6 separate regions of the Mus musculus genome follow, and all the other regions are reported to be linked to region 4. The links are microRNA targets in miRTarBase. Many come from high-throughput screens and were not tested one by one. Region 4 holds a microRNA gene; each other region holds the end of a gene's coding sequence.
Evidence for each region. The annotated mature microRNA mmu-miR-17-5p reads CAAAGUGCUUACAGUGCAGGUAG and lies in region 4 at 2,845-2,867, shown strand. An mRNA with a match to its seed (bases 2 to 7 or 8) in the 3' UTR can be bound and repressed. Matches are read on the target gene's strand: a 7mer-m8 pairs with bases 2 to 8, a 7mer-A1 pairs with bases 2 to 7 and ends in A, and an 8mer does both.

Region 1: miRTarBase lists Pum1 as a target of mmu-miR-17-5p. The part of its 3' UTR that is shown has no 7-base or 8-base seed match.
Region 2: miRTarBase lists Fchsd2 as a target of mmu-miR-17-5p. Seed matches in the 3' UTR shown: 7mer-A1 at 3,712-3,718 and 7mer-A1 at 3,080-3,086.
Region 3: miRTarBase lists Amot as a target of mmu-miR-17-5p. The part of its 3' UTR that is shown has no 7-base or 8-base seed match.
Region 5: the mRNA of Derl2 is a reported target of mmu-miR-17-5p. Seed matches in the 3' UTR shown: 8mer at 922-929.
Region 6: the mRNA of Tnrc6b is a reported target of mmu-miR-17-5p. Seed matches in the 3' UTR shown: 7mer-A1 at 1,001-1,007.

Annotation. Positions count from the first base shown.
Region 1 is chr4:130,778,884-130,783,956 of GRCm38, forward strand. It overlaps Pum1 (pumilio RNA-binding family member 1), which reads left to right. Exons shown (of 22, transcript NM_030722.3): 22 at 889-2,681. The coding sequence ends at 1,020. Gm12972 (a long non-coding RNA gene) reads left to right here and starts at 4,826. Exons shown (of 4, transcript XR_001784548.2): 1 at 4,826-5,073.
Region 2 is chr7:101,281,892-101,286,964 of GRCm38, reverse strand. It overlaps Fchsd2 (FCH and double SH3 domains 2), which reads right to left. Exons shown (of 20, transcript NM_001146010.1): 20 at 2,560-4,515. The coding sequence ends at 4,432. It also overlaps a transcript of Atg16l2 not described here. Among named protein-coding and RNA genes, the nearest start is that of Atg16l2, 18 kb to the left of the region's middle.
Region 3 is chrX:145,445,823-145,450,895 of GRCm38, reverse strand. It overlaps Amot (angiomotin), which reads left to right. Exons shown (of 11, transcript NM_153319.3): 10 at 1-465; 11 at 798-4,472. The coding sequence ends at 895. Among named protein-coding and RNA genes, the nearest start is that of Amot, 39 kb to the left of the region's middle.
Region 4 is chr14:115,040,840-115,045,912 of GRCm38, forward strand. It overlaps Mir17 (microRNA 17), which reads left to right and starts at 2,832; the gene lies at 2,832-2,915. Mir18 (microRNA 18) reads left to right here and starts at 3,012; the gene lies at 3,012-3,107. Mir19a (microRNA 19a) reads left to right here and starts at 3,161; the gene lies at 3,161-3,242. It overlaps Mir20a (microRNA 20a), which reads left to right and starts at 3,318; the gene lies at 3,318-3,424. It also overlaps Mir19b-1, Mir17hg and Mir92-1.
Region 5 is chr11:71,006,045-71,011,117 of GRCm38, reverse strand. It overlaps Derl2 (Der1-like domain family, member 2), which reads left to right. Exons shown (of 7, transcript NM_033562.4): 7 at 692-3,678. The coding sequence ends at 797. Among named protein-coding and RNA genes, the nearest start is that of Dhx33, 4.1 kb to the right of the region's middle.
Region 6 is chr15:80,928,991-80,934,063 of GRCm38, forward strand. Tnrc6b (trinucleotide repeat containing 6b) reads left to right here. Exons shown (of 25, transcript NM_144812.3): 25 at 99-5,073. The coding sequence ends at 486. Among named protein-coding and RNA genes, the nearest start is that of Mir5113, 8.5 kb to the right of the region's middle.

The sequences.
Region 1 (5,073 bases), not on the chromosome of region 4:
TCAGACGCTTAACAAATAGTGCTTTTTTGTCTGTACTGCTAGCAACATTATCTTAAAGCTCCCACAGAAGCCCACTAAGCTCTGAGCATACGGTGGCTTTTCCAGCCCAAACTTCAGGTGCTACCACAATCCTCCTTAGCACTCCCAGCACTACTGACCTGGTACCAAGTTATGTCTTAGGGTTTCTGTTGCTGTTGTGAACAACACCAAAAGCAGCTGAGCAGGAAGGGATTTGTTTCATCTTACAGTTTTTCCATCATCCAAGGCAGGCAGGGCAGGAAGCTCTGGCACTGGCTGATTCAGAAGTCACGGGGACTGCTGCTTCTTGGCTTGGTCCCAGTAGTTTGCTCAGCCTGCTTTCTTAGAGCACCCAGAACCACCCGCACATGGTGGTACCACTCACATCAATCATCAAACAAGAAAATGCGTCACAGGCTTGTCCACACACAGCCCAATTAGGTGGGGGCATTTTCTCAATTGAGGTTTCCTCTACCATAATGAGTCTAACTTGTAAAGTTGATGTAAAAACTAGCCAGTGCAATTGGTCACTGTTAACTGGAAGAAATCCTGTGCCCTGGCGAGGCAGGGATCTGGTGGTGAGTTCAGACATCTGGTTCCCCAAAGGAAGCCCCAACTGTCAGGACAACCTGGTTTTCTACGTGCAGCTGGCTGGCATAGGCTATTCTGTCATGGTTCTCTGTCCTTTGTCAGTGCTTAGGGCAAGAGCTCCCGTCTTTACCTCGTGGCTTGCTAGCAATAAGAGGACAGGAGTACCTTTCGGGATGAAGCACTATATATGTACACTGTATATTCTGTGTCTGGGTCTGTCTGGGAAGGGTCTGGAGGTGCCTCTCCAGCCAAGAGTAATACCCACACTGTCCTCTCCAGATCCGGCCACACATTGCGACGCTTCGAAAGTACACCTATGGCAAGCACATCCTGGCCAAGCTCGAGAAGTACTACATGAAGAATGGCGTGGACTTGGGGCCCATTTGTGGTCCCCCTAATGGTATCATCTGAACAGTGCACCCACGTCCCTGTCCCGCTGACCTCACTGACCCTGGCAGATCCAACCAGCAACCAGAGGTGCCCAGCTCAGCGTCGGAAGTGGGCAACGGTTGCTCCGGGATTGCTCCCTCCTCCAAAAAACAGAATCAGATCCACTTGTGGAAAGGCCTTTGTAAATTTCATTTTATTACACATAACATGTACTAATTATTTTTTTTAATTGACTAATTGCCCTGCTGTTTACTGGTGTATAGGAACTTGTACATAGGTAATCAGTGTACATGGGAGGCCACATGCTTTGTTCAATGTTGTATCTATATTCCACATGTGGACACTTTCAGGGTGGTTGGTTTAACAAAAAAAGTTAAAAAAAAAGACAAAAAAAGGTTTTTAACTCATTTGCCTTGTGGCAAGTTTTGCAAATAGCTCTTCCCCACCTCCTCATTTTATTATTAAAAAAAAAAAACCTGAGAAATTTGAATTTTAGTTAAATGATCTCAAACTGGCATTTAACACTGTTTATAAAATATATATATATATACATATATACATATATGAAATGGGAACGTTTCAGAGTTGCTAGAGCATCAGCCTGTGATATGGAGTTTATGACGCTCTTTTTTTGGAGATGACCTCGTGCTGAGGGAGGTGGTAGCTGCAGATCCAGGAGGAGCGGGGACCCCAGAGGCCCAAGGCCAGTGGGCATGGCCACTTGCTGCCTGTGGTTGCCTGTGTGAACACTGGGAAGCAGGATCTGACTGTTTAGCATGAGAGAATACCCAGCTCGGCCCTGGTCTGGCTTCTATAGATACATAGTGTATACTTGTGTAGACTTTGCATATATACGGATTTGTAGTATTTTCCTGTTTTGATGTCTAATCTGTATCTATAATGTACCCTAGTAGTCGGACATACTTTTGATTGTACAATTGTACATTTGTATACCTGTAATGTAAATGTGGAGGAGTTTGATCAACACGAACACGTTTTTGGTAAGAAGAGAATCAGCCAGCCCGTGCACTCTGTATATCCCACCTTTTATGGTCGTAGCAGATAGTGTTGTATATTGTAAATTGTAATTTCAACCAGAAGTAAATTTTTTTCTTTTGAAGGAATAAATGTTCTTTATACAGCCTAGTTAATGTTTAAAAAGGAAAAAAAAATAGCTTGGTTTATTTGTCAGCTAGTCAAGACGGTAGTGAGAGCCTTTCTAAATGTTACTTCAGATGCTTCAGTTCACACTAGTGTCCCCCCCCCCCCTTTTTTTTTAATCCTAAAAAAGGTAATGTTTCGCTTATTTTGTGACAGTCAAAAAGGATGTGCAGAAGTTTCGCCTGCCCCCTCCCTGCTCAGCGCCACCCCTTGTAAAGTGACTCGCCCTCCGTTTTGTACAGATGAGCTGTATTTTGCATTTTGTCTACTTGTAAGTGAATGTAACATACTGTCAACCCTCGTTTGAATATAGACTGTAACACTACACGGTGTACATTTCCAGAGCCTTGTGTATATTTCCAATGAACTTTTTGCAAGCACACTTGTAACCATATGTGTATAATTAACAAACCTGTGTATGCTTATGCCTGGGCAACTATTTTTTGTAACTCTTGTGTAGATTGTCTCTAAACAATGTGTGATCTTTATTTTGAAAAAAATACAGAACTTTGGAATCTGAATTTGTACTGCTCTCACTTCTCAAACCTGCTCAGGCAAGCCCTGCTCTAGCCTGCCTCTGCCTCTGCCTCTGCTCCAGCCTGCCTCTGCAGCTGCTCAGATGGAGAAGAAGGGTGGAGGAGTAGAGTGGGGTTGGGGTTTCAAGCTGATGGCTTCTCAGCCTAATTTGTCCTGAGAGGTTGAGTTCAGTTTGCCTCATGTCTGATTTCGAAGTGATAGTCTTTTCCTGGGGATGAACACACACGAGATGGGTGAATTTTTACTGGGTCACTAACAAGGGGTCACTCACAGCTGCATCACAGAGCAGCCTCTCTTTTCCCCAGCCCATGCTGTAACCTGAGGCTCTCTGCAGAACATGTAAGCAGTTGCACAGTCGAGCCTTGTATAAAAGCTGGGGAGATAACCTTGAGAATCTTCAGTTTTTGCTTTCCTAAATGTGAGCTTTTGTTCACCACCTGAGTCTCATGAACCTCCCCTCCTGGGAAGGACTGTTTCCGTTCAGAGAAAATTGCCAGACAAGCGTGATGTGGTGGCTTCAAGTCCAGCAGAGGGAGGCAGATCTCTAGAGTTCCTGGCCAGCCTGGTCTATTAGATCGAGTTCTTGGACAGCCTGGGCTACACAGAGACCCTTGTCTTGAAAACTAGAAGATTGAGAGAGGGAAGGAAGTACCCAGCTTGCTCAGAAATCCTCAATGTGGGTCTCCTGCACCTCTTTGCAAGTCTGTGCCTGTGGCTGACTGCCCTGTCCTGCTGACCATCCTGCGGGGTTTTCATTTTGGCTTCTGGCATTTTTGGCATTGGGAAGTATTCTTTCTGAGACTGATAGTCCCATAGCTGGGAATGCCCACTCAGGCTATTCAGTGTCTAGCTTGCTCTGATTACCCTCAGATTGAGAGCCCCTGGGCTCACAGTAGCTCCTGTTCTCAGGATGTCCACCCTTCCTCCACCCAGCTGTTAGTCAAGAGTCACCTTTGGCAAAAATTGACAAAGGTTTAGCCAGAAAGACCAGAGAACCTGAAATTTCACCTGGCCTCCTGCTTGTTGGGGCCTCTAGTCAATAATATGCCATCGAGGCCTCCTGGACAGAAAGGAGAAGTGATGGTTTCCAGTTGAAGGCCTGATTCTGCTTTAACAGTTGGGAGTTGGGCGGTGCCCTGGCCTTGCCTGTTGGGACTTCCCAGAGCAGGGATATGCTGAGGGGAGGTGGCTAGTGGCTGGGGTCTGTGTTTGGGACATCCAGGGACTCTCATTACCCTCTGCATTTGCTTGTAGTTGCTTGATTTTGGTTCCATTAGCATTTCAGTGGAGAAGCACCTGTGTGGAAGCCCTGCTGGAAAGGGGATGGTCTCTAGTTTCAAGCCTTTCGTGTGTCAGGATTAAATGGTGCTTTTAATCCTCACCTGCCCCTGAGACCCAATTCTCTGTAAAAGGGGAAACTACCAGAATACTAATAAGTACTTTCAGAAGGAGTTGTGTAGATTGAGATTTTGTAACCGAGTAGTGCCCAATGCATTATGTAACAAGCAACGTTTGCATGTTCCCTGTTTATGGTTGGAGACTTCATTTTAATAGCTTCTAGTTATAAGACTATCCACAGCCTCTTCTCCCCCCCCCCCCACCCACCCACCCACTTGGTGGCTACGCACACAGAACAGGAACTATCTTAAGAACCCAGAAGCCTGTCATCAACCCTAAGAGAGGCAAAGGCAGGAGGATGGAGGGTCTGGCCTTAAGCTACAGTAACACGAGTGTCTCAGAAGTAGAAAAACAAAGCCAACTGAGCCAGTGCATATTTATAAATCCCAACACTTGGGAGACAAGATGTTTAGGAATTCCAAGATCATCTTGGCCACACAGTGAGCCAGAGTGACTGCATGAGATCCCGTCGGGGAAGGTTTGGGAAGGATGCTTGATTGTTCCACGGCACAGTCCAGAGGACCTTTGTCTGTCCACCTTTACCTTCCAGGCTTTTGGAGGCAGGTTTTATTTTGCTGATTCTGTCTCTTCTTCCCATCATATGGTGGGTACATCTGGCTTTACATGGGCTTTATCCTCACATTTGGGTGGCAAGTGCTTTACACTGAATATCCCAGCCTGAGACCCGTCTTAAACAAAAACAAACCCAGGAGACGAAACCTGTTTTTTTTTTTTTTTTTTTTTTTTTTTTTTTGATTAAAGAAGTCTGTCCAATGCAATTCACTGGACACGAACTCCGCTGACATGGGAAGGCCCACTCCAGATCCATAAGCCAAGGTTCCACATTCAGATGAGACACTTCGTGATATCCTCCCTCCGCAGGGCTGTTTGATGGGGCAAGCTGGGCTCCCAGGCTGTGTCCACCCCTCATCCTTGAGCCAACCAGGAGGGAGTCCACGGATGTTTCAGCTCATATAG
Region 2 (5,073 bases), not on the chromosome of region 4:
TCAGATATACCGTGGGTAAGTGCCATGTCTGCTGCAAGTATATCCACTAGTAACTATCTTTAGTTCACTTGTACATCATCTTACTAAATCTTCCTGGATCTGAGGCAGTTTATATTATCTTCTCACTTCCAAGTTAAAGATGAAGTTGAGGGCTGAGACTTAGATTATGGCAGGCAAATCCATGCACGGCAGAGGTTGTTCATGGGTCTCCACCCAGTTCTTTCCCTGCCCCTTACTGGTGTGTCTGGCATATAAACCTGTGAACCCTAACTCACAGGTTTTCTCTATTATGCTTCAGGATAACATTCCAGAAACATGTTCCTTGAACAGCATTCTCAGGAAAAGACATGAAGGAGTCCTATGTGTTTTCTTGGCCACTGATCCAAAGGAAAATAGTCCAGGAACAAGACACTCTTTGGTGTTCTCGTAGTTCTTGGCAGCTCATGCTTTTATAAAGCAAACCCAGCAAAATCCCAGGAGGAAACAAAACTTGCTATGTCAAGTTGCAGGATTTCAGGAAGAAAAATGTTTATTCTCCCCTTGACCTAAAATTTCTGTAATTTGGTTTTATTTCTGACACTGTGTGTGTGGTATGTGTGTGTATCCAACTTAAACTAAATAAATGCAGAGGCTCATTGCAGCCAGATACTGTCCTAAGGCTACTCAGAGATGGGCAGTAATTAGAACCAAATCCTGAAGCTGTGGCTGGAATCCTTGCACAGTATGACTGGTGTGGTCCAGGAGTGGCATCCTAATACAGACCATAATGGCTGCCTTGTCTCTGGGGATGAGTCCAGGGATCTGAATTTTCATTTTCTTGTTTTTTTAATTTTTCTTTTTCTTTTCTTTCTTTCTCCTGTATCTAACTGATCTAGGGAGAGAATTGGATAAGCCCATCAAAGTCACTTCACTGCATCGTTTCTAAAAATGGGGTAGTGGCAGCTGGGAGGAAAAGATGTTCTATTAAGTAGTGGCAGGGCTAAAGCCAGGTACTATCCTGCATTGACTTTGACTTAGGGCCTGGGCTTAGAGAGGTAGGGGTCAGGGAATTAACAATGAGTCTGTGGCTTGACAGTCTGGTCAGCTCCTGTGACAAAGGAAATCACCATGGATGGCACTGAGGTAGGACAACTGGCTAAACTCTGGCCTAAATTAAAAAGACTAGTGTCAGACTTGAGAGTGAGCTTTCACTGCACAAAATGTATCCTTATAGTCTTCTAGATCTATGGCACTTCCAACTCCATTCTTTCTGTGGGTTACTAAGAGGCTAGGGGATGGAAGGAGACCCTTCTTCCTGAAGACCTTGAAGGCTGAGAGATGATAGTGTTGATGGTGTTTGTATGCCACCCTCTGCTACATACTTTGTCTCCTTCCTGAATGAAGGCTTCTCCTCAGGCTGCAGGACACAGGATCAGTCCTTGTAGCTGCCCCACGTGGCTCAGGCAGGATTTACTAACCCAAACCTGACTTCTATGTCCATGTTGCTCCATGTACTTTTGATGGAAATGTAAAAAACTCATGCAGTTCTTTTGGAGCCAATTTGGCAAACATTTAACCCTTTCTGTCAAATTCTACATTTACACTGTTAACAAATTTATAAAGAAGTATATACAATGATGTTAGCTTCAATTTCCTAAAAGCAAATGGCTAGATACTATTTAAATACCCGTCACTAGAGGAACCATTAATTATATAGCCAAACAATGGAATATGCAGCCATCAAAAAGAATGACAAAAACATGGCTGGCAAGATGGCTCAGTAAAAGCTTTTGCTGTATAAGCTTGACCACCTGAGTTCAACCCACAGAGCCCTCAGGGGGAACACAAACCAACAAAAAACAGGTTACAGTGTTGCATATTTGTAACCTAGCACTTCTATAAGATGGGTGGTGCAGGAACATGAGAGCCAGCTAGGTTAGGGTGCACAGCGCAGCAAAAAAACAAGACCCACCTAGGCAAAGTGCAGAGAGCCATCTCAAAATTTGTCCTGATCCCCAAATGTGCTGTGGCACACACACATGTTTGCACTCACATATCATACACATAATCAAAAAGACAATGACAAAAACAAAGAAAGAAAGTAAATAAAAAGATGACATAAACTCCAGAGTATTATCTAATCCTGCTCTAAATAAGCAGAGTAAACAATACATGCCCAGGAAAATGCCAGGAAAGGTTTTAACCCTGCCCCAGGTAAGTGCTGGATCTGTGAGTTCCTCCACATCCATGGCTTAGTGAGTAAAAGGTTTTATTGCACAGGCGGGGCCACCCAGAACCCATAATGGAACACCAAGGTTCCTCCTTGACTTGTGGTTGTCTGGAAGCCAGAGAGACTCAGCCTGTAACTAGATCACAGCATGCCTTGTTTTATGGTCTTGGCCTCAAATACATGACCTGTCTTTTCTTCCCTCTTGCTGGACAAGAATAGCATCAGGGTCTGTGATGTCTGGGTGGACTCACTTCCTGCTCTGGGCACATGATACGTGGTTTAAGGATGGCCCACAAGAAGCATCCTCTCTCTCAAAGCCTGCCTAATCAACTCTTTATCAGGACACTTGCAAAACTTAATTTCATTTTTTATTATTCAACATTTTATACATAATAAATACAAACTTTTTACAGCCACTGTAAAGAAAGCGCACCTGCACGGAGGCTCCCTTTGAGCCCTGACCTGTGCATGGTGACGCCGGGTTATTCGGCCTGGAGAGAAGGGTTATTTATTTATTTATTTTTAAAAAGGAGGCATATTTTTACAACTTTGTTTCTTAAAATAAAATTAGCAGCTCTTCCAAAAAATATTTTAAAATATAACAAAAGAGTTCAAATAACTCTGAGGTTGTGGGAAACTCAAATCCAAGGACAATTTGGTTAGCTAAACAGAATACAGGACTGGTAGCAGGAACTGCTCTATTATAAGCACTTTGAAGATCAGCAAATTTGAAAATCTTAAAATACCCTTTTAATTTTTTAAACTTAAGAATAAGTTTGATAAACATAAAAAGACCTCAAATAGATCAACAGATAAATGTAAAAACCAAAAATCCAAATTCATGGAGAAGATTCATCAGAGTATCATTGCTAAAGTGATCAAATGACTGAAAATCCCTTCAGCTCCGATATCAGTCAAAAATCCCACGGGGACATGTGACCATTTCAAGTTTTTAGAGATTCTCAGAAGGGATGGAAATTTCAAAGCATCATACAACCTTTAAATCTGTAAATTTCTTTTCCCAGCCAAGGTAAAAGAGGATTGGCAAGCATTGCTTTGTTCCCTAGGTCAAGATCTACCGTCCACAGAGTGCTTGACCTTCTAGGCTGAGGCCAGGGCGCCATGAGGCTCTTCCCTGACCTGCAGAAGGTGCTAGCCTCCTTGGTCTCACCTGGGCAGGTGTACAGTCCTGTATCCTTTCCACAGAAAGCAGGCTTCCTCCAGGGCCCATAGATTCTTCACTCTGGACAAATGTCAGGGCAGTGGGACCTGAAGCTGTACTTTCAGAAGGCGACAGCTGGTCTGCACCAATCACAACCCAGATGTCTAGGCCAATACTCTGGCTTGGGAATAAAATAATATAAGGGCCTCTCCAGTAGAGAAGCTGAGCAATGTAGGCCTTTGTCCTCAATGCAGCCAGACACTTGGATTCAAAGGATACTGGTCAGAGGGTATACACTGTAAAAACCAAGAGGAAACATACCCAAAGACAAAAGGAACATTAAAGTGGCTCATTTCAGATGTGGAAGCTCCATTTCTGCTTCTTCCTTAGCCTCCCTTCTAGTCTATGTGATGGGAAAGATGTGGCCTCAGCCCCTCCAGGTTAGCCCACTAATACTAAATGAATGGCATAAATATTAATACAAAGGACACTGTTATTTTAAATCTGTTAGTTGAGGAAGAGATGTGCATTATGCAATTGGCGCTAAGCTCAGGCAGTCCACTTTCTTCTCAATAAGGTTGCATTTTCAGTATGGGAATGAACCTGGGGAGGAGCCAGCCTCTCCTGGATTTCCTTACACAGTCAACTTGATTTGAATAACAATCAGAAGAGCAAAATCCACTTGAGGAAAGATGAGATCTTTGCCACAGCCCTGTGCATGGCCACAGTAATATACTGTACGAGTTCACACAATTGGTAATTCTGGGTCTGTGCCCTGGATCTAGGCCTGGCCTTGAGTCTCATATAAAAATGGGCCACTATAAGGCATGAGAGCTGCTCCCCTCTGCTTCTAGGACCCGCTATGATTTGTGCTATGGTAGGAGAGATGACATAAAAAACGACAACAAAAAAGGCACAATCAGGCCAACCAGTCCCATCGAATCCTCCTTGGTTTTGCTCCTTTCAAGAGTCATCATCATGCAAAGGTGCCTAAAAAATGAGACTGGCCAAACTCCAAGCCTGGCCTTGATTGTAGCAGTAACGGAAGGTAAATCCACTGTCACACCAGTGTGATCTCCACGTCCTCCATCTTCTCAGTTGTCCGCCGGTGGTTCTGTGTGGGTGGTGGCGGCGCCGCCCGAACCTGAGCAAGAGACAATTACAGGGTTATCGGCCTCTTGACTCAGAGGCTAGCACGTGGAACGCTCCAATGCTCCTCTGGATGTTCGCTGACACCTGAGGGCCTGGGAATGTGTTCACTGCCCTGAACAGCAGGCCCCATTCTGCATGAAATGCTAGGTCAGACTGCTTGTTATGCTGGAGGTACCAAGGCATGCTAGTTGCTGTAGTCCTAAACACTTCTCCAAAGTAAAGCTGGGAGTGGCAAAGAGAAGGCACAGTATGGGGACTGGAACTGCTCTATCATGTCTCCAAGGTCAGCCATGGGGAACAAGGCTGGAGAGGTGGGGCAGGTAGTGAAGGGCCTTATTAAGTTTTAGTAAGAAACCAGGATAGTCAGGCAGGGTGGCACACACTTGTGATCCCAGCATGCAGGAAGTAGAGGCAGAACTGCAGAAAGATCGAGGCAGCCCTGGGCTACACAGTGAGGTTTTTGTCTCAAAAAACAAACCAAACCAAATAACATGGGACTGGAAATGTAACCCAGTGAGAGTGCTTGCTTAGCAGGCTCAAGGCTCTGGAT
Region 3 (5,073 bases), not on the chromosome of region 4:
TCTCTGCAGCTAATTCTATCTCTCCAGCTGCTCCTGTCGCTCCAGCTGCTGTAGTGCCTCCAGCTGCTCCTGTCTCTCCAGCTGCTGCTGTTCAGATTCCAGCTGCTGCATCTCTTACTCCTGCTACTGTTTCTCCAACTGCTGCCACTGCTACTGCTGCTGTTGCTGCAGCTACTACTGCTGCTATCACTGCTGCTGCTGCTGCTGCCACTACTGCTATTCAGGTTGCTCCAGCTACTTCGGCTCCGGTTCCATCTCCAGCTTCGATTCCGGCTCCAGCAACGGCTCAGGCTTCTGCTCCGACTCCGACTCAGGCATCAACTCCAGCTCCGACTGAACCTCCTAGTCCAGTTCCAACTCCAACTCCAGCTTTGGTTCAAACTGAGGGTCCTGCAAATCCAGGTGCCAGTTCCGGACCACGCCGCTTGTCTACACCAAATCTGATGTGCAACCCAGATAAGCCAGGTAATCACAATTTTCCGGAGCAGGTATCTTCTGGTTTTGTTCTCAGGTGTGCATCTATTAGTTGATGCCTGACCTTTTGACATAGTTAAATATTGCATGATCCAATTGGTCAGAGGAGAGAAAAGAAGAGGTTCTAAATCTGCCTTCTGTCATTCACTAAAAAGGGAGTGGTCAAGAGCAGAGGCCATTTTTCAGTAAAGTAAATGATGGGCATGTCTGTAGTTGCAAGTCACGTTTTAAAAATGAGTTCTGTTATGGTTCGCAACATTGATTTTTGAAAGGTACTTTTTACTTTGTGCCTAAGTCGTTTCTAACCCCTCCTTTCCATTTAGATGCCCCTGCTTTCCACTCCAGCACTCTGGAAAGAAAGACACCCATTCAGATCCTGGGGCAAGAGCCTGATGCAGAGATGGTGGAATATCTCATCTAAACAGCACAATCAAGAGCTGGCGTTATCAGCAAGAGTTCTTTTTAATAATTTTTCCCTTTCATTTGTTTAATCTGGGGTGAAGATAGGGTGGGGAGGTGGGGATGATTTTTCTAAAGGGACTTTTTATTGGACTCTGGTAGTACATAAGTAATACCATAGAAACGAATTCCAATCTATTTTGGAATACTTAGGGAGTACCTCAAAAAGATAGGTTAAGCAGAATGTGCTCTAAAGCTTACTGTTGGGCTTTGTACAACTCATGGACTATTAACCAGTAGTGATGTCCATTGATGTTTTGAATACGCTTCAAGTTGTTTTAAATTTCCCTATTTGAGGTCATTTTTCATTGAAGAATACAGTATGTGTAGAAGGCAGGTTGTAACATGGAGTTCCGAAGTGGAAATTCAGGGAGAGTTTGAGGACTTGCTACTTTGTCGGGTCTCTACCTAGACAACAGCCACAGAAAGCTCTGACTTTGGGCTTGAGGAAAGAAAGTGTTTTAGGAGCTATGGAAGCTAAAGAAAAGTTAGAGAGGATTGGGGTGAAGAAGGGTGCTGGAACCAATTTTTTCTCCCAGTTGCCAGTTATCCTGCCCCCTCATTGATGGTATTTCTCTCCATTTCAATGGTGCTTTGGAAGTGGATTCTTTTGGTTTCCTCCTGGAGGTTGATACATTCATATATATACTGTGGAATAATTTATGCATTTGGATAATTAATATATTGCTTTCAGATGGTAGGAAGGTAAATGAACAGTGATCCATGACTGCCTCTCTCATAGGGGATTAGATGTTAGAGGCCTTGATAAAAGGCTGCATGAGATGCTGCATGCAGACTTTTGTGATCTGGGTATAGTCATGACCATGGCTCAGTCACCTTAAATTAGTCCTGGTGACTGGCATAGCCTTTCCCCACCCATAATGCAGATTCGCTGGCTGCTTTGCCAATATTTGTTTACCAGTAGTTTGCAAGATAAGGAAACATCGTTGTTGACAGGTTGAATGTGTTGAATTTCTGGCAAATACTTGGAAATATTTCTCTTTTTTTTTCCCAAATCTTTAGCATGTGCCTTCAAAGGCATATGCAACTGTCACCTCCAAGGAAATCACATAAGAAATCCAAAGTACCAGGCTGCAGTCATGATCAAGGTTGATTGCAGCAATCTCCTCAACTACCTCTTCTCATTACCAGTGACTCCATCTTGGAATCCCTTTGGGAAGCAGCTAGGAATGTATATATGGGCGGGACCAACATGGGGCCTTGCCACAGAGCTGCCTCCAAGGACACAGAAGGTGTCAGTTGTCACAGGTCCTTGTCCTTTGTCTCTGCCCTTCATTGAGGCAATAGAACTACAGATAGTACCATTAAGATGAGTTTTCAGGGGTCTAGGGAAGTTAAGGGTGGGAGGGTATTAGGTAAGGGAGATAGACGTTTAGAGATGTGTTAAGTTAGAAATCAGATTGATGCAAGTGTATCCTGTATTATGCCATGGGCTATAGTGATGGGGAGGAACTTTACTTAGCAATGTAGCATTAAGTTTAGTGATGAGGAATCTGAGAGTTGGAAAAGTTCACTGACTTTTTCAAGATCACACAGCACATCTCTCTGTTCTGCCAACTACATACCCATTTGGCAAATGATTATAAAAAAGAAGACTCTGTTTTAAAGAAAGGACATCTTCATAGTCTAGGGCGTACCTATGTTATGAAAATATTCTTGGTGTGAATAGATTGATTAGGTGTCTGAATTCTTATCTTGTCTCTGCTGGAGTGCCTTGTGTGAGACTGGATTTTTTCCTCATCCCATTTAATCATTGAGCTACATGAAATGCACCCATAAAGAAAAGTCAACCCATCTGTTTTTCACTATAAAATCGGGTGTCTTGGGTCATTTTATGTATTCCTCTGTGAGTATAAGAGTGCTATATTTACCTGTATTCTTGTGTAGTTCCTAATTACCTTCCAAAAGATTTATGTGTGTGTTTGTGTGTGTGTGTCTGTCTGTCTGTCTGTCTGTCTGTCTGTCTGTAGATGAGGGAAGGCAATTCAACAACTTTTAACTAGTATCTTTTTCACATTTTTAATAGCAAAGTGATCATCCAATGTATTGGTCCTCAGTTACAGAGTGAATGACAAATAGACAATTAAAAGTGCAAGGAAATAAACCCCTTCAGACAGTAGAAGAATCAGGCAGCAAACACCAGGAGAGCTACTTTCTGTCCAAGCAAATGAATGAAAATCAAAGAAACTTCATGTCCTCTCATGATGAAAACTCATTGATAGAATTTGGGCTGACTCTGGGAGCCATTATTATAATCACATACTCTAAAGTGATAGATGAAATGAATTCCTCACTGTGGCAACCATCGCTTTAGAGTCATGTGTTTGGGGAGAAAAGGAAGTCCTTGCTGAAGTATGAACTTTCCAGAACCTTTGTGCCCTGTCACATAAGAGGCACTCCTTCTCTTCAGTTTTCTGTCCCAGGAAATTTGCTAGAAGGACATTGTGTGTCTAAGACATGGAAGAAGACTATATTGGTATAGTCTGTATAGACTCCACCATTTGAGAAAAATTTCTACCACATACCAGTTAAAAAATTCAGTATATGGGATGAATCTCGAATTAACCTTGCCTTCACAGTTGTGTGGATGTAACATTTCAGGCCTTTTCCTGGACTTCCCAGAAGAGGAGGGAATATTTCTTGTCTTAACTTTTACTGTCTAGTTGTCTATGAGGATCTTATAATTCATTTTGTTATCCCCAATGTCCCATGTCCAGCAAAATTTCATTTGAGGGAACTATACTTGATACAAAACTATTAACATTGTTGAGGAAGTAATTTAACTTCCTTTGAAAGTCATGTATTGTGACTGTTGTCTTAATGAAGGTTTTAATTTCAGTGTTGCTTTTGAGCTGCAGGGTGACGGGGCAGTAGAAACTTGAAACATCTGCCATCATCCATGGCAGGAAACATAGCAAGATGTTCTCTTTTTACTTTTGCACTGTTGAGTGGGTCTAACAAACTGATTTCCCAGCTAGTTTTTAAAATGAAGAATCTAAATAATGTGGCAGCTTAAAGTATAGATGTATGTGCTAACTTGAATAAATGCTCATGTCTGTTAGCCATACAGTCTGTTATCTTACATCCTCATTCATACATGGATTATGTTACTTAAGATATGTTCCTTCTTACAGAAAATATTTTCAAAGGGAACTATTCACTGTGGGTTCATTGTCACTGATTTCTGCCTGCCACAATCTTCAGAAATTCTTCTCTCATGTGCCACCCATTGACAGTAGGACAAGGGTTGGAAATACATTTTCTTCTGGTGGTAAGGGTGGGTGACAAGACGTTTTCAAATCCTTCTGGCCTCCTTTGCGATCGATGGCATGTGTTTAATAAGATGGCTAGATGGGACTGGCAGATTGTTCAAGAAGAATTACTTTTGGCTTAATGTACATGGTCTTGTAGTGATTGTGATCCTATTCTGTAATCAAGAGAGTTAGATCAAATAAAGTTAAGCAGGTTAAATCCACTTTGTGCCTATCTTTCAATAAAGTTAGCCATTTTAAAATGCAGCACTGTGTGGAAAATGCTTTGGTGTTTACTGGCTTTGTGTGATGTTAATAATTACTTTCAAGACAGTGGAACTGTCTTGCACCAGCAGCAGAATTTGCATTTGTTCAAAGTGTGGGATGAGATTAAAACATCTTCAGACAATAGAGCAGGCCACATGCTCTAATCAGTCATTTTATATACAAATAAGAGCTTTGCACCTTTTTGTTTCCTGGTTCTGAAGGGTAAAATGATGGGCATCCAAAGCAGAAAACTAATTTTGGGGTTAGCGTTTTGGAAGCACTCCCCATTTGGTATCTCTTTTCTATAACAGTAGTAGTTATGTCAATTAATTTTAGATGTGGTATGGGCTTACAAAGGCCAGTCACATCTATGCATATATTGACAACACTAAGAAGAGCAAGAACACAAGAAAAACAAGAACACTGAAGGTGGGAGGGAAACAGGTGGTGGGGAAGAGTTGGAAGTTGGGGAGATGGGGTGGATTTGATCAAAACACTGTAGTCATATATGAAATTAAGTAATAAAGATTAAAATAATAAGGGAAAACCCACAGTTTTTTGGAGTTGGGCATTCATTAAAAATGATAAGGCTGCTGTTACT
Region 4 (5,073 bases):
CGAGCCGCCGTGGGCGGGGCCTGCGGTGATTGGCGGGCGGGCGGGGAGGTCGGAAGTACTTTGTTTTTTATGCTAATGAGGGAGTGGGGCTTGTCCGTATTTACGTTGAGGCGGGAGCCGCCGCCCTTCATTCACCCACATGGTCCTTCGAGGTGCCGCCGCCGCCGCCCCGGCCCGCGCCTTCGCGCCACTTCGCGCCCTGCGGCGAGGCCGAGGGGTGGGGACGGTCCCCCACGCCGCCCGTGCCTCTCCACGGAGCCCCGAGCTCGGACCGGGCCGGGCGGGCCACGCCGCACCCCCGGCCTGGGGCCTCGGGCCGGAGTGGCGCGGAGGCTGGCGAAGATGGTGGCGGCTGCTGCGGTGAGTGCGCCCGCCCCGCCGCCGGCTCAGGGAAACCTGTTGTGCGCTAAGCGGAGCGGCGGCGGCGGCGGGACGGGCGGGAGGGCGGGGGCCGCGGGCCGGGTGGGTCTCGGGCCGTTGGGCGCCGGCGTGGGGCGGCCGTCCTGGCGCGCACGCGGGCCGGAGGGGGCCCGAGGGGGCGGCGGCCCGGGCCCCGGAGAGGCCCGCCCGGCGCACACAATGGCCCTCGGGAGGCTTCGCACGAGGCCGGCGGCCGTCCCGGGAGCGGCGGGAGCCGGGCGGGGCGCGCGGCCGCCGTGCGGGGAAAGTTTCTCCCGGGGGCGAGAGTTAAAGCGCCTCCAGAACAAAGCGGCGGCGGCACATGGGGCAGGCCGCGGGCCGGGAGGGGGCGCGCCCACGAGGAACCTGCGCGCGGGCGGCGTGGGCGGGCGGCACTCGGCGTCCCCGAAACTTTGTGCGCGCCGGGCCGGGCTCCGGGACGCGGGAGCTGCGGGGCGACGGGGCCGGGGCGCCACCCCGCGCTCCGCGTGGGCTTTGTGTGCGGCCGCGTGGGCAGCTCCCCTCGCGGGCGAGGCGACCCCTGCGGTCCGCCCGGGCGGCCCGGGACGCCCCGGCCCGCCCTCGGGGCGGCGCGGAGCCCCGGACGGGCGCTGGCTGCGAGCGCGGCGCGGGAGGGCCGGGCGGGTTCGGCAGGAGCGGCGGCCCCGCCGCCATGTTCCTGCGGGGCGGGCTGCGCGCGCCGAGGGCGGGGGGGGGGGGGACATGGCGGCGACTGCGCGCCGCCGCCGATTGTTCCCGGCTTAGGCCTCGGGCCGCGTGCGGCGAGCGCCCTGTCCGCCCCCCTCCCTCCCCCGGAGCCTGGCCGGGGGGCGCGCGGGACACAAAGGACGGCCGGCGTGTCCGGAGCCTCGCCACGCTCGGGCCTCCGCGCCGCCGCTCGCCGCGCAGCCGCCCAGAAACGGGCGGGGGTTGGGGGGGGGGGGGAGTCTCCGCGTCCGGCGCAGCGCGGCCCGGCTCTGACCTGCCGCCCCCTGGCGGCCGCGCGGGGAACCCACAAGGGCCGCCTGCCCCCTTGTGCGACATGTGCTGCCGGCCCGGGCTCCATGAGCGTGGCGGGTACTTGGCAGGATCCCGTGTTCCCGTCCGGTTTTCTCTTGATAAGCTGGCGCGGAGGGGAGAAAACTGGAGAGCGCAGCAGGGCTCGTGGTTCTTAGGTGACCAGAGGGAAGAAAATGAGCAACGTGCCACGAGGATCACAGCAGTTGGGGAAACAACTCTTTATCCCGGCGTGCAGCCACGAGGTCCTGATTGGGGGAGGGGTGGTGAAGACTAGTCCTGGTTGCCCTTTTTCTCTAGCTTGAGCTGGACAGTAGAGTTCAGGCTTGCTGCTACTCATCTTGCAGTATTTCAGGGGCACATTAATTCGTGCACGGATGTGAATCTTGGTGGGTTTTCAACTTTATTTTGTTACAGCGTTTTCCACCCAATACATTGTTGCCCTCAGGACCTTGTGGTCCTGGCTCTCTCTTTTTTTTTTTTTTTTTTTTTTTTTTTGGCAAATGGATAGAATTGCCCCTTAGGAAGATTAAGAGAAGAGCAACTTGGAATGGGGCTCGGAAAGTGGTAGTAATTTTGAGCAAATGTGCTTACCCTTTCTCTGTCTTCACCCCACCCCCAACCCTAGTCATACACGTGGACCTAGCAGCACCCGAAGCATTGCCCAAGGATACTTGCTGAGAAGGAAGTTTGCCTGAGTGGGTGAGTATATTCTAGTTTTGTAGCTAAAACTTCTTTTGAGACCTTTGGTTTTCACTTTTGTCTTTGAGCTTGTACAACATTCTTGGTCTTTTAAGGTATGAAATAAATACAGTTTGAACTCTTGTCATAAATGAGTGAGCCACATTTTAACGTAGTAAATCTACAGTGGCTTTTGGACACTAACCAAATAGTTGTAGACCCTTCAAGTTGGAGTCATAGAGTATTTCTAATTTGGGGTGATACTAAGACTTTTTTATGTTTTATGACTAATAAACTTGAAAATGACTAAACAATAATCATTAATCTTGTCGAGTATCTGACAATGTGGAGGACAGAAGAAAGGGATTGCTGCCTGGTCAATGTGAGGCTTTCCTCTAAAGGTAGTACCAAGTCAGACTGCCTTCCTGATAACAGGTCTCATTTTGTAGGACCCTTATTGTGTGTTTTTTGGGGAAGCCTACTGTAAAAGCCAACATTTTAATGGGATTGTATCTTATATTTCTTTAAGGAGTTTTTTTTTTTTTTTTAAGGCTTACATGTGTCCAATTTGGAACTTCTGGCTATTGGCTCCTCCCCTCCCCCCCTTGGGTATAAGCTGTAATTGATGTTTGTGACAGAATTTAGAGCTTTGGCTTTTTCCTTTTTGTCTAATTATTTATTTCAAATTTAGCAGGAATAAAGTGAACCTCACCTTGGGACTGAAGCTGTGACCAGTCAGAATAATGTCAAAGTGCTTACAGTGCAGGTAGTGATGTGTGCATCTACTGCAGTGAGGGCACTTGTAGCATTATGCTGACAGCTGCCTCGGTGGGAGCCACAGTGGGCGCTGCCTCGGGCGGCACTGGCTGCGTCCAGTCGTCGGTCAGTCGGTCGCGGGGAGGGCCTGCTGGTGCTGCGTGCTTTTTGTTCTAAGGTGCATCTAGTGCAGATAGTGAAGTAGACTAGCATCTACTGCCCTAAGTGCTCCTTCTGGCATAAGAAGTTATGTCCTCATCCAATCCAAGTCAAGCAAGCATGTAGGGGTCTCTCCATAGTTGTGTTTGCAGCCCTCTGTTAGTTTTGCATAGTTGCACTACAAGAAGAATGTAGTTGTGCAAATCTATGCAAAACTGATGGTGGCCTGCTATTTACTTCAAGTGTTGTTTTTTTTTAAACTAATTTTGTATTTTTATTGTGTCGATGTAGAGCCTGCGTGGTGTGTGTGATGTGACAGCTTCTGTAGCACTAAAGTGCTTATAGTGCAGGTAGTGTGTAGCCATCTACTGCATTACGAGCACTTAAAGTACTGCCAGCTGTAGAACTCCAGCCTCGCCTGGCCATCGCCCAGCCAACTGTCCTGTTATTGAGCACTGGTCTATGGTTAGTTTTGCAGGTTTGCATCCAGCTGTATAATATTCTGCTGTGCAAATCCATGCAAAACTGACTGTGGTGGTGAAAAGTCTGTAGAGAAGTAAGGGAAAATCAAACCCCTTTCTACACAGGTTGGGATTTGTCGCAATGCTGTGTTTCTCTGTATGGTATTGCACTTGTCCCGGCCTGTTGAGTTTGGTGGGGATTGTGACCAGAAGATGTGAAAATGACAATATTGCTGAAGATGCCGATTTCCACTGTAAAAATGTTCACGAGCTGATGGAGTGTATGAACACATTCTGTAAACTGTGATTTCTATTGCTTTCGTTGGTGTGTAAAACGGGATTTTTTTAATTGAAATTTGTGTTTTTAAATTGTGGTTTGTTTTTACTGAATCATTTCATTTTCGTGTTTGCTCGCTGGATTTAGTAAGAAGTTGTGTGTGGGGGCTTAGGTGAAGTTAAACTGCCTTTTGAACCTGGTATGACTTCAGGTTTATTTTACTCTAAAACCCATTAACATGAGTTAAGAAAAATGTTACTTTCTTTGGATCTCTGTTTATTAAAGTGTGACAATTCAGATGGAGTGTTTTCTGATAAGATTATTCCTAATCCGTGAGTTCTTAACAGTTAACAGGTGGTGGCCACTCTGTTAATGTGCACACCCTGTAAGAAAGAACTATCCTTGGACTGTTCTTACCATGTGACCCCCTCAAGGGAAAGATGGCAAACTGATGGTCAGTAGAGTGACAGGTACACATGACACTCGAGTGCTGGGTCTGGAGAAGCTGCAGTTAGTATTTAGGATAACAGTATATATAATATATAGTTCTACATTTGGGCAGCACAGTTGGTTTCAGGCTATGAATAAAAATCATTGGAGTGAAACCTAAAGAAAAGTAAAATTAATAAGGAAGAGCTGCTAAAATCAGGTTTAAGCTGACACTATCTACAGAGCTAAAGTTTTCCATAATATGTTGCTTTTTTTAAAAGAAATGCAAGAAGCTGACTGATGGATCCCTGAGCTGCCAGGTAAGGATTCCACAGGCCTGGGTTTGATTGTGAGTGACCAGAATTGTACAATTATTACTAAAACAGAAACATAGTCACTTCTGACTCCATTCTTAACATTTTTGGATTAAAACTTGTTTCAGATGACTAATGAAAACTTCCTTTAAAACGTGATAAAGCTCTAATGTCAGCACGATCCACATGATCCATGTGCCTCCTATAAAGGGAGGGGTCTGTCACCAGTGTTACGGATTGAATGCTACGTTTATCTTCCAACATAGGAAGCCTGCCAGGTACTTTCTTCAATATACTAAATTAGAAGTTTAAAATTAATAAGGTCTTAATTAGGACCTTTGGATGCTGAGCTTGTGGTAGTAATTGTGTTCAGAATGTTTTGAACTTAAATTGAGATTTAATTTTAGTAAGGAATGTGTGTCTTAGAGGCCTAGTAGTGAAGAGGAGTTTTCCTAGGATTTTCCTCTCTCCTCCCTTAATTAAGCTGCTTTCTGCACTAAGGGCTTCACGCAGCAACGCACTTGTTCAGTTCCGCACAGGGGGCTTTGCTGACTGTCTGCTCTAAAACTCTGTTGGCAAA
Region 5 (5,073 bases), not on the chromosome of region 4:
GGATTTCTGAGTTTGATGCCATCTTGGTTTATAGATCCAGTTCCAGGAAAGCCAGGGCTACACAGAGGAAACCATCTTGAAAAAGAAGAAAAGAAAAAAGAAATTACTTTTCCTTTATAAATGGCCTACGGGATTTTGGTGGCTGCATGCTAGTCCGGGGTTCCTATGACATAACATAAGTATACGCCTCCCTTGCTAATAGACATCGGCCTCAGTTACTGCTTCTCCTTCTCTACTTGGAGTGTTGGATGTCCTTGTAACTGAGTCCACACGCTCCAACATGGAAGTCACCGTCGTAGCCGTTGTAAAGTGAACAATTCAGTGGTGGTTCGTGAGTTTGTGTTGTGCTGCTATGGCCGTTTCCTTAGAAGGTTTTATCTTATAATCCTAAAACTCTGCCCATGATGTAATTCCCTATTTCTGTCATCCAGCAACCACCTTTCTTTTTATGTGCCTGTGAATTTGACTATCCAGGTACTCCATCAGCATTTATTGCTTCCATAGTAACAATTATTAATAAGGTAAATATTAATGCAAGTGTTAAATAAGTATAGCGCCTTTAAGGTATAGTACCTCTGTAGTTGGCAGGCAGGGACAATACTTACCTGTTTGTGGAAGCCCTATGGGTGCTGCTTTATCGTACGTCCAATCTAAGGGGGCTCTGGCACTGAATGGTCTCTGTGTGTTTTAGGAGGACTATTTTTGATACGCCAGATGAGGATCCCAATTACAACCCACTACCTGAAGAGCGGCCGGGAGGCTTCGCCTGGGGTGAGGGCCAGCGCCTTGGTGGGTAAAGCAGCGGTGCCAATTACGAGACCCATCTGAGAAAGACTCAGTGACATGTCCATGGGGGTCTTTTATCCCTTGTTGCAAAAGCGTGGACAGTTTTGACAGCTTGACAGATTTTTAACTCCAGAAGCACTTTACGGGATGGTACACTGACTAACATAGAAGACATTTCCAGGAGTTTGCCAGGGGTTCCTCACTATGCTGGTACTAAAAGTATAACCTCTTGGAGCCAAAAACTGGAGACCCAGGCACCCTGCCTGTGCCGTGAGCAAGTCCATGGGTACTTGAGCTCAGTGGCACAGGCGGGTGCTCCTCCTCCTCTTTGATAGACAAGGCCGTGGTGTAAATGGAAGTTACGGAGAGGACAAAATAAAACTGAATTCCATCTCTCTCACACTGTATTTAAGCTTTCGTGTGATCTTTTAAATCATGGTAGTGTGTTCTAGCTCTCCTGCGTATGTTTGAACACAGCAGTTTCCGTGCCTGCCCTCATGTCTCCACGGCTTTCAACTGGATTTCATTTCAAGATTGGAAATACACAGCTGCTATGTACATCTGACTAATTCTAGTTCAGAGTCTTAGCCTCTGGAGAGGGAAGATTGGTTTCTGCCATTCAGATAGTTCTCCATCTGAATACCATGAAGCTTCAAGTTTAGACCACAGGAGGAGGGAGAAGGGAGGGTAATTTCTTGTAGCCAAGGAATCTGACTGTAGAGAAGCCAGCTATAAACCAAAAGCAACTGTGATATCTCTTTGAGTTGGAGTTCCTCTACTAAGAAATACCCAGATTAGTAATGGCCACCCGTTGTCAAAGCACAGGAATAAGAATGGGCAGCATTGGGCATGTGTTCCTCTTGTCATTCATTTCAAGAAAAGCTCAAGACCCTTCCAGGGCCAAGGGCCTGGTTCACCTTCCCAGTCGGGCAGAAATCAGGGTCTTTGGAAGCAGCCACACTGATGGTTCAGAGTACTTATCAAAGATGGCACATCTTGTCTGACTCAACAGTTTTCCATTCATGCTGCTTTATCAGAGCTCAGAAAGATGGCCTCAGACAGTTTTCATAAATGTCAAAGAGGCACAGGACTTCCCAGGCTGGGTCATCCTGTTTAGGCTGAGTTGCTTTTCAGATGAGATTTTCTCAGAGGTTAGCATAGGCTTAAGTAAGCTCTAGTAAACATTCTAGGTGGAAAGTTTCAGATACATTTGAGGTAGAAAGTATTTTAATGACTAAGTGGAACTCGATAAGGAATGGAATGAGTACGGTACTAGTAAATCACTGAAGACCATTGTAACTCTATGGGACGTGGGCCAATGGGACTGCTTTTGTCTTGTTTAAAAATTTTTAACGTTTAATGACAATCTTAGATTGTATGATCCTTATGGGATTCTTAAGTTTGATAATTGTTTTTGTTCAAGAAGGCCTTGTCAGTAACTTTTAGGAATTTATTTTTATTATTATTGCTTGCTTTTAAGCCAGAAATGGGTTTCTTTAAGGTTTTATTTATTTTCCCTAAGTTAATTTTAGATTTAGCTAGTTCATGGAGTTATTGTGACCGATCTTTAATTCTAAAATCTCTCCACCAGCTATTTTCATTTTAAACAGTGAATACCTATACATATTAGTGACTGAAAACAGAAAATATATTTTGGATTATTGTTAGGGTGTGAATTCCTAGTGGTAGAACACCATGCTGTGTGACACACTGTCTCCTGGCAGTGCTGATTTCAGTCACTTGGCCTCTTAGTAGTTTGGCAGGTCCCTGGCCCTGTGTTGTTTGGCAAGATCCCTGTGCTCACTGGGACACAAGGGAAAGTCCTCACTTCCCCAGCCAACCTCTCAATTCCAATTCTTCCAAAACACACTTCCTTTTTGCGATATGAGTCAGCAGAAAAGTGAGATTGCATTATGGGATTCTGTGACCGCTTAAACTTACATGAATACAGTTTGAGCCATTTCCTGGATTGATTGTATCAGAAATATCCGAAAAGCACACCTAAAGCATAGGGCATTTTGTTTCGTTGTTACAGGAATACAGTATATGTTCATTTAAAAATGAATGGACATGCCAATTGCATCTCCATAGGAGATAGATTTTATATACTTTGGTGTGTTTTTTTCACTATGAATTTTTACTTGTTTCTTCCACTTCTTTTTCTGTCCCTCTGTGTCCTCCTGTCTTTTATATTTCTTTTGTACTTGCGTGAGGCAAAGCGTCCACATCCTGGATCTTGAAATGGAACCATAACACTGTCTCTAGAGTCCTCTGGGAGGAATTAGGAAACATTGGAGCTATTGGCATGTTGGCATAACATGCTTCCTAGAATTGTCATGCCTTCGGCCACTGTTTATTTTGTGGCTATAATTTCCTTTCTCGGGTGAGTTCTATCTGTGTTAGCTAAGATCCTGCCCTTCCATCCTCTCGGGATGACTAAACTACTTACTGTTTTGAGTTTGATTCAAGTTCTTGAACCTTGCTTGTCTCGTTCAGCCGCTCTGTTCCGAAGTCTGCAATCACGTCTTAGCCCTTATCAAATGCATATTTTGTGTCTTTTCTCTGAACCTTGCTCCTACTTCTCCCTTGCAGGAACGTCGATTTAAGTTTCTTCAAGACCTTGACACTAAACTCTTAAAACTAAGGCCTATTTCACTGTCTTCTTTAAATCCTTATGAAGCTTCAAATCTGTGCTAAAATTCCTATACCAAATCATATATTGTCTTGTACTGTTCTTAGCTGCTACATGTATGTTAGTTTTGTTCCCCTCATGAGAATGTAAGCTCCTTAAGGGCAGGGACTATGTCTTAATTTTTGTATCCACCACAGTGCCTAGCACTGTGCTTGGCACATGGGTGCTGAATAAATACTTTGTTTATTGATCAGCAAACTATTATCTTGTATTTTTAATTATGAAAGAATCGATGTGTATGTATCCAAACTTGGACCTGATTGCTAAGGTTTAATATTCTTTCTGGAAACAGGATGGAACAAAACTGACCTTGATTGAGGAGCAATGATTTGGTGGCCTTGCAATCGGAGGAGACCGTGAGCTGGTAGGGTCATGGTCGGACCAGGGAGTTACTTCGACAGACTTGGCCACCTCAGATAAGAGTGAAATGTGTCTGACAGATCATCTTTTGGAGGAATAATCAGAATATTCTTTTGAATGCTTAGTATGTGAGCTTCTCAATATGAAAGCCACTGAGCCACAAGAGAGTTTTTTGGAGGGGCAACAGATTTCAGACCGCCACTGAAGGGCAAGTGAGCAACATGCAGGGAAAGATTTAAGTTTCCAACTCTGATCATTTTACTGCTGAGTAAATGGGTTACCAGGAATGAGTTCCTTACAAAAGTGTTAGGTTTTATCTCCACCTTAAAAAAAAAAAACAAACAAACTCTGAGCCAATACTTTAAAAACACCAAAATTTTTGTTTTTCTTTTCTTGTTCTTAAAAAAAAAATGCTTGCATGATAACTGTTGCATATGATTAGTGAGTGCTTCTAGATAAGTGGACTTTGCGGGGGGGCGGGGGGGGGTGTCCGATGCCTCCAGAGGTAATAACACCACCAAGCCTAAAGACCAGATTTCAATCCCTAGGCCACCACATAGCAGGAGAGAAGCAACTGCCATGATTTGTTCTCTGACCTTCCCCCCGCTTCTCTCTTTCACTCACACACACACAATGTATGTTTTTTTAAAGAGGTGTTTTACTTACCAAGAGGTGATTTCACTCACTCAGATGGCCTATTTGGACTCCTGTAATTTATAATACTCCCACGTTGGGTTGCTTCGAATGTGCAGCTACCTATTATTTTGTTTACTCAAGGCCCATAACTTGACATAAGTTATTTTTCTTTTAAGGGTTTGCTTGCCTTCCTAAATCAACATGGGGGTGGGGGGAGGCGCGTGGAAAACATGTCAACTTATTCTTTGTAAGATTTGTTTTTACTATTTAAAATTACATGTACTTATATGTGTCTTTATATAGGTATGTGCACATAAGTTTGGGTTACCTTGAGGTTAGAGGTACGGGATCTTCTAGGGCAGGGGTTTCAGGAGATGGTGAGCTGCCTGGCATGGGTGTGAGGGAACAAATTTGAGTTCTCTCAACAGTGAGCATTCTTAACCCCAAGCCCTGTCTCCATTCCCAAGTCAGTACATTCTTCGTGTACATCCTAAACACACACATTTTTTAGTAACCCCTAGTGTACTGTCAGAAGCTAAATAAAAACTATAACTGGGATTTGGGGGTGTTTGTTTGCTTGTTTTTTTGCTTCTTAGATA
Region 6 (5,073 bases), not on the chromosome of region 4:
GACAACACAGTAGCAGAGGGCTGACAGCTGTACACCACCCCACCCCCACCCCCTTGCTGGCGATCCCTCGGATCACGTGACTCTTCTCCTTTCTGTAGGTGTGTGTTGGGAAACACTACCATCCTGGCCGAGTTTGCCACTGAGGATGAAGTCAGCCGCTTTCTGGCTCAAGCTCAGCCCCCTACGCCTGCAGCCACCCCGAGTGCACCTGCCACAGGGTGGCAGTCCCTGGAGACCAGCCAGAACCAAGCAGACCCCGTTGGACCTGCGCTGAACCTTTTCGGTGGGTCCACCGGGCTCGGGCAGTGGAGCAGCAGCGCTGGTGGCAGCAGTGGGGCCGATCTTGCCGGCACTTCCTTGTGGGGCCCCCCAAACTATTCTTCTAGCTTGTGGGGAGTCCCGACGGTGGAAGATCCCCATAGGATGGGCAGCCCTGCTCCTTTACTACCTGGTGACCTTCTGGGAGGAGGGTCGGATTCAATCTGAACTTAAACTTTCAACTCTGACCTCGTGACCTTTTTTGGAACAGCAGCAGCACTAACTTGACCTTTTCGTTTTTTTTTTCAACTTGCAATAAATACATTTTTAAAAGGAAAAAAGAAAACGGAGAGAGAAAAAAGGTGGGTCATTGACAGACTGTCTGAGCACATAGTTGCCTCCCTTAAAACTTCAGTTTTTTCGTTTGGAATATGAATCCAAAAAGAGAACATATCACTCTTGAAATACTTGAATCATGAACGCCAACCTAGAAAGACAATGTGAAGCAAGTACACATACCATTTAAATTTAAACACAAAAAAATTAAAAAAATTAGTTTCTAGTTTTTCACTTTTTTCATGTTATATGGAAGTTGTTGCTAAGAAACATATATACTGAAAAAATAGCTTTTTAACTTTGTTTGCACTGGGTGTGTTTCCGTCCTTAGGTCTACCATGTTTGGGTGGGAGGGAAATTCAAAAGAATTGTTGGGGGAGGGGGGAGGGAAGACTTGACGGAGCCTCACTTTAAAAACAAAAACAAAAAAACTTAAAAAAAAAAAAAAGGTAAAATTTTGTGATTGGCTGGTTGATAAATACCAGTGTGTTCTGGCACATGTAACTGCCCAGGCATGCTCGTTCTGGTATGTGTGTGCACGTGTGTTCATGTGCATTTGCGTGCATCCTCCTCTCTGTCTCTCTTCGTGTGCCTGCGTCCTGCCCTCCTCGTCCTGCCTCGCCCCGCCCCACCCCCACCCTGATTTCTCAGAAAGCTGCATTGCTGACAGTTCCAAAGGCTGGCTGGCCGGCCATCCGCTTTTCATTATTTCTGACTATGAGAACACAGGAGCACAGGGAGCCGCTGCAACTCAAGCCACTTCTTCTGGCTGCCTCGAGATGAAGGGTGCTTTTCAGTGACAGAGCAGCAGCCAGAATGCGGGGGGGGGGGGGGGGGGGGGGGGGCGGGGAGGTCCCCAGCTTCTGTCGACCCAGCTGCAGAGCAGAGCACTGCCAAGGCCAGAGGTGTGACAGAAGGCCCCTCCCTCCAAGAAGCTGCTGCTCACCTCTGTGCTGTGAAGTAAGCAGCTGCCTGCCCGGCAGCAGGAGTCTAAGGACTGAGCTGGCCAGTTGGCTACTTTGAGTGAGAACAGACGATTCAATAATTTTTAAATCGTGTGATGTTTTAAAAGCTGAAAAACAGTTCCCACTTTGCTGTGCTCGTCGGGTGTGAGAATTTTTTGAAAGGATTCAGGTAATGCAAATTCAATTACTTCTATCAGTTCTCATTATCATGTGAGGAAGACAGTAAGTTATGAGCAGCCTCCTGGAAGCATCGCAGCGCCTCCCTCTCTGCTCCCCTCTCTCTCTCTCTCGCTGAGCATTACCTGTGCCAGGCCGTGGCGTGTTACAGCACCAGGCCATCACTGACAGAAACGTTTACTTAACGAATGTTCTTAAACCAGTGTGTACTTCAAGTGTCTCCCTTTGTTTCTCTGTGTTGTTTCCTGTGTATGTGGTTTTGCTTAGGCAGAAATAACTTAGCAAAGTATTGCACCTTGTTTTGGTTTTGACCTCTTTTTTTTTTTTTTCTTTCCTTGTAATGTTGGTTTTTTTATTTTGGTATTTAAAGACTTTTTTAAAAAAACATCAATGTAGTAGTTCTCTGGGCCGAACAGGAGGCAATGTTTAATCCACAGTTATCACCAATACGTATGTACTATGTTGGAATCAAAATATATCAAATTTCTTATTGTGAAGAGAGTGAAAGTAAACCCGAAGGGGATCCTCACGTGCTAAATAGATGGCGGGCGGGCGGGCGGGCGGGCGGGCGGGCGGGCGTGATGTGTGCGGGGAACATGCTAGCACTTGTGTGATATCCCAGTCTGCATCGTACTGTCTGTTCAACATGAAGTGCCGACATTCTGTACCAGCAATTACCTGCCCATTCCAACCCCTGACGGGAGCAGACCTCTGCTGTCCTCTGTGACTTGCTGCTATTGAGGACAAGGGAGTTTTTCTTTCTTTAGCATCTTCAGTGAAGGATACAACAATGCCTAATGTATTTAACTTTCAGCTTGTGTCTTTGGTGTAGGTGGGTAGAGGGGTATGGATAGGAAAAAGCAAACAGACAAACAAAAAACCCAAAATTGCATGTAAGTGGCTTTGTAAGACAGTGAGTGGGAAATTCTGTAGTCGTCTTGGCTTACCTTGTTGGGTATAAACCTAGCTTCAGAGGAGGCTGACGGGGCACCATTCCCATGAGCACCTGTGCTTAACAATCTGGGCGCCCTTGGCAGGTGGGTAGGCAAATGAGCGTGCAGTTCTGGTTTGTTCCTGCAACACCTTGTTCTCATGGACTCTGCCTTCCTCCTGCTCTCTGGTTTCCATCACCACCACCCCCTCTCACCTCTGCCCTGCAAAATGTCTCCTTCCAGCCCCACTGACTCTCAGTGTTGGAGCAGAGCTCTGTCGCAGGTGATGACGTCCAGGTGAAGCGCCGCTTATATTCAGACATCTGCAGACTGAAGGCTGAACTTTAGTGTCCCCAGACTCCTGGGAGCCTGTGGGGACTGTCCACTGCCGCTCTTGGTTCATGGCCCTGCCTATCCTCTCCTCTGCCCCTGCTCCTCTTTCTGCCTGTTGGGTCCTTGACCTGCACTATGGCTTAGTTGAGTTCCTTACGATACTACGGTGAAAGCCGGGTGCTAGAGCCCCTCTTGTTTACAAGACATAAATGAGGGATTTGAAATATGTAAAAATAAGCATGAGAAGCTAAAATGTTCTTCCATCATAAGCTTAAAGGGAAAAAAACTAAAAACTTAAAAAAAAAAAAAAGACCAAAAAGTGCGTGTGTGTGTGTGTGTGTGTGTGTATATATATATATATGTGTGTGTATATATATATACATATATATATATATATGTATGTACATATATATATGCACATACACACATACATATAAATATATATTTTAGATGAAGACTAACTCTGGGAGCATTTAACAGTGTTTTTGTTTTTTATTTTTAACATTATTTTCCTGCTTTAAAATTTGCAAGCATTCTCAGGAATTCTAGGGTAGGAAGCCAGTTTTTTGAAGATGGTTTATTTAATTGTATCTTATCCTAGATAGACAGCTGTTTCTTTCCTGTTAGTAAACTTTTACAAGTTCCTGAAACTTCAAAAAGTTTAAACGATTTTTACTTATAAAAATGTAAAAAGAAAAGTCTCCAAACGTTATTATCATACAGGGGATCACACATTTTAAAATACATAGAAATATTTTTTAAAAATTACCAATTTAGCAGCAACAGGTAAATTCATTATCTTAACAACTGTGGGAGAAGGCTCAGCCATTCTGAGTGTTGTCACCGCCTTGCTTGACATTGTGCATGGCTTACTGGGGGGGTGACTGTTGAGCTCGTAGGAGTGACACCACATTGTTCCTTCTGTATGAGGCTGGACTGACGTCTCCCCGTCATGTTTCTGTTCTCCAGTGCAGCCCTTCTTCTCCCTGGCTCTCCAGCCCCATCAACAAAAGCAAGGAATAAAGAAAGAAACAGTAGCTTAAGCAAAAGGATCGGCTCTAAACTGTGGCAGTGCGGTTGCTGGATTGCTGAGAATCTCTGTAAAGAGTTAGGAAATATAGGTTAATAATTTTTTAAACGAATTTTAAATATGAGCATTACTAAAGGAAAATTACCTATGGACTGTTCTGTTGGTGAAAAGTGTGTGTTTCGCCTCCCATCTGTTACAGGAGGAGGAAACAGAAGAGTCTAATAAGGAACAAGTGGTTTTACTTTTCATTTTTTATTTAGCTCCCAGCTACTGTTTGCTTGTTTTAAATGCTGTTTTGAAGATCTGCTGCTTACTCCCCCCATCCTGGGAGGCAGAGATGTGGAGTGTTTCCTTTTGATTTGGGTGATGTTGAATTCTGCTTTTGTATTCCCTCCTGGGGCCAGAGGTCTTGGCCACAGCTTCTTTCAAACTTTAAGCTTCCCAGTGGGAAAGAAACTCCAGCTCCACAGGTAAAGTGAATGGGTGGGGTTGTTGCCTGCATTCTCTAAAACCGCTTTAGTGCCTTCGTACATACACCGACATCCTAAGCAGGGGATGCGTGTGCGTGTGCATGTGGTCCAGTCACTCCACGGTCCACGGTCGGTATGATGCTTGCCTGTAAAGGAAATTGGAGTGGTTCTGGACAGGCCCCAAAGGCAGTGGGCTAAATCAAAATAAACATTGAGGAAGTTAAATACATTGTTTTGTCTCGATAATGCGGGATGCCAAGTTCCTTCCTATGTTGTGTGCCCTCCATAGGTGCTGACCTCTCCATGTGTAGAAGGGTGACAGTTAACAGCCATGGGGAAAGTCTTTTTGTGCCGGGCCAGTGGAGGAAGGCTCCTGCTTCTCAGCTCCTGTTTCTGTCTTCTCTCTGCCTCTCCCCTTCACCCATTTGTCATCTTGCTGGAAGCTTTTGTGATTGATAGGCAATGACCTAAGAAGAGGATGTGGTGAGGGGTACCCTGTCTACTAAGACATTAGGCGACTTTGTCCTACATGGAAAAGTTCAGTAAGCATATATTTCCAGCCGATCCTGGCA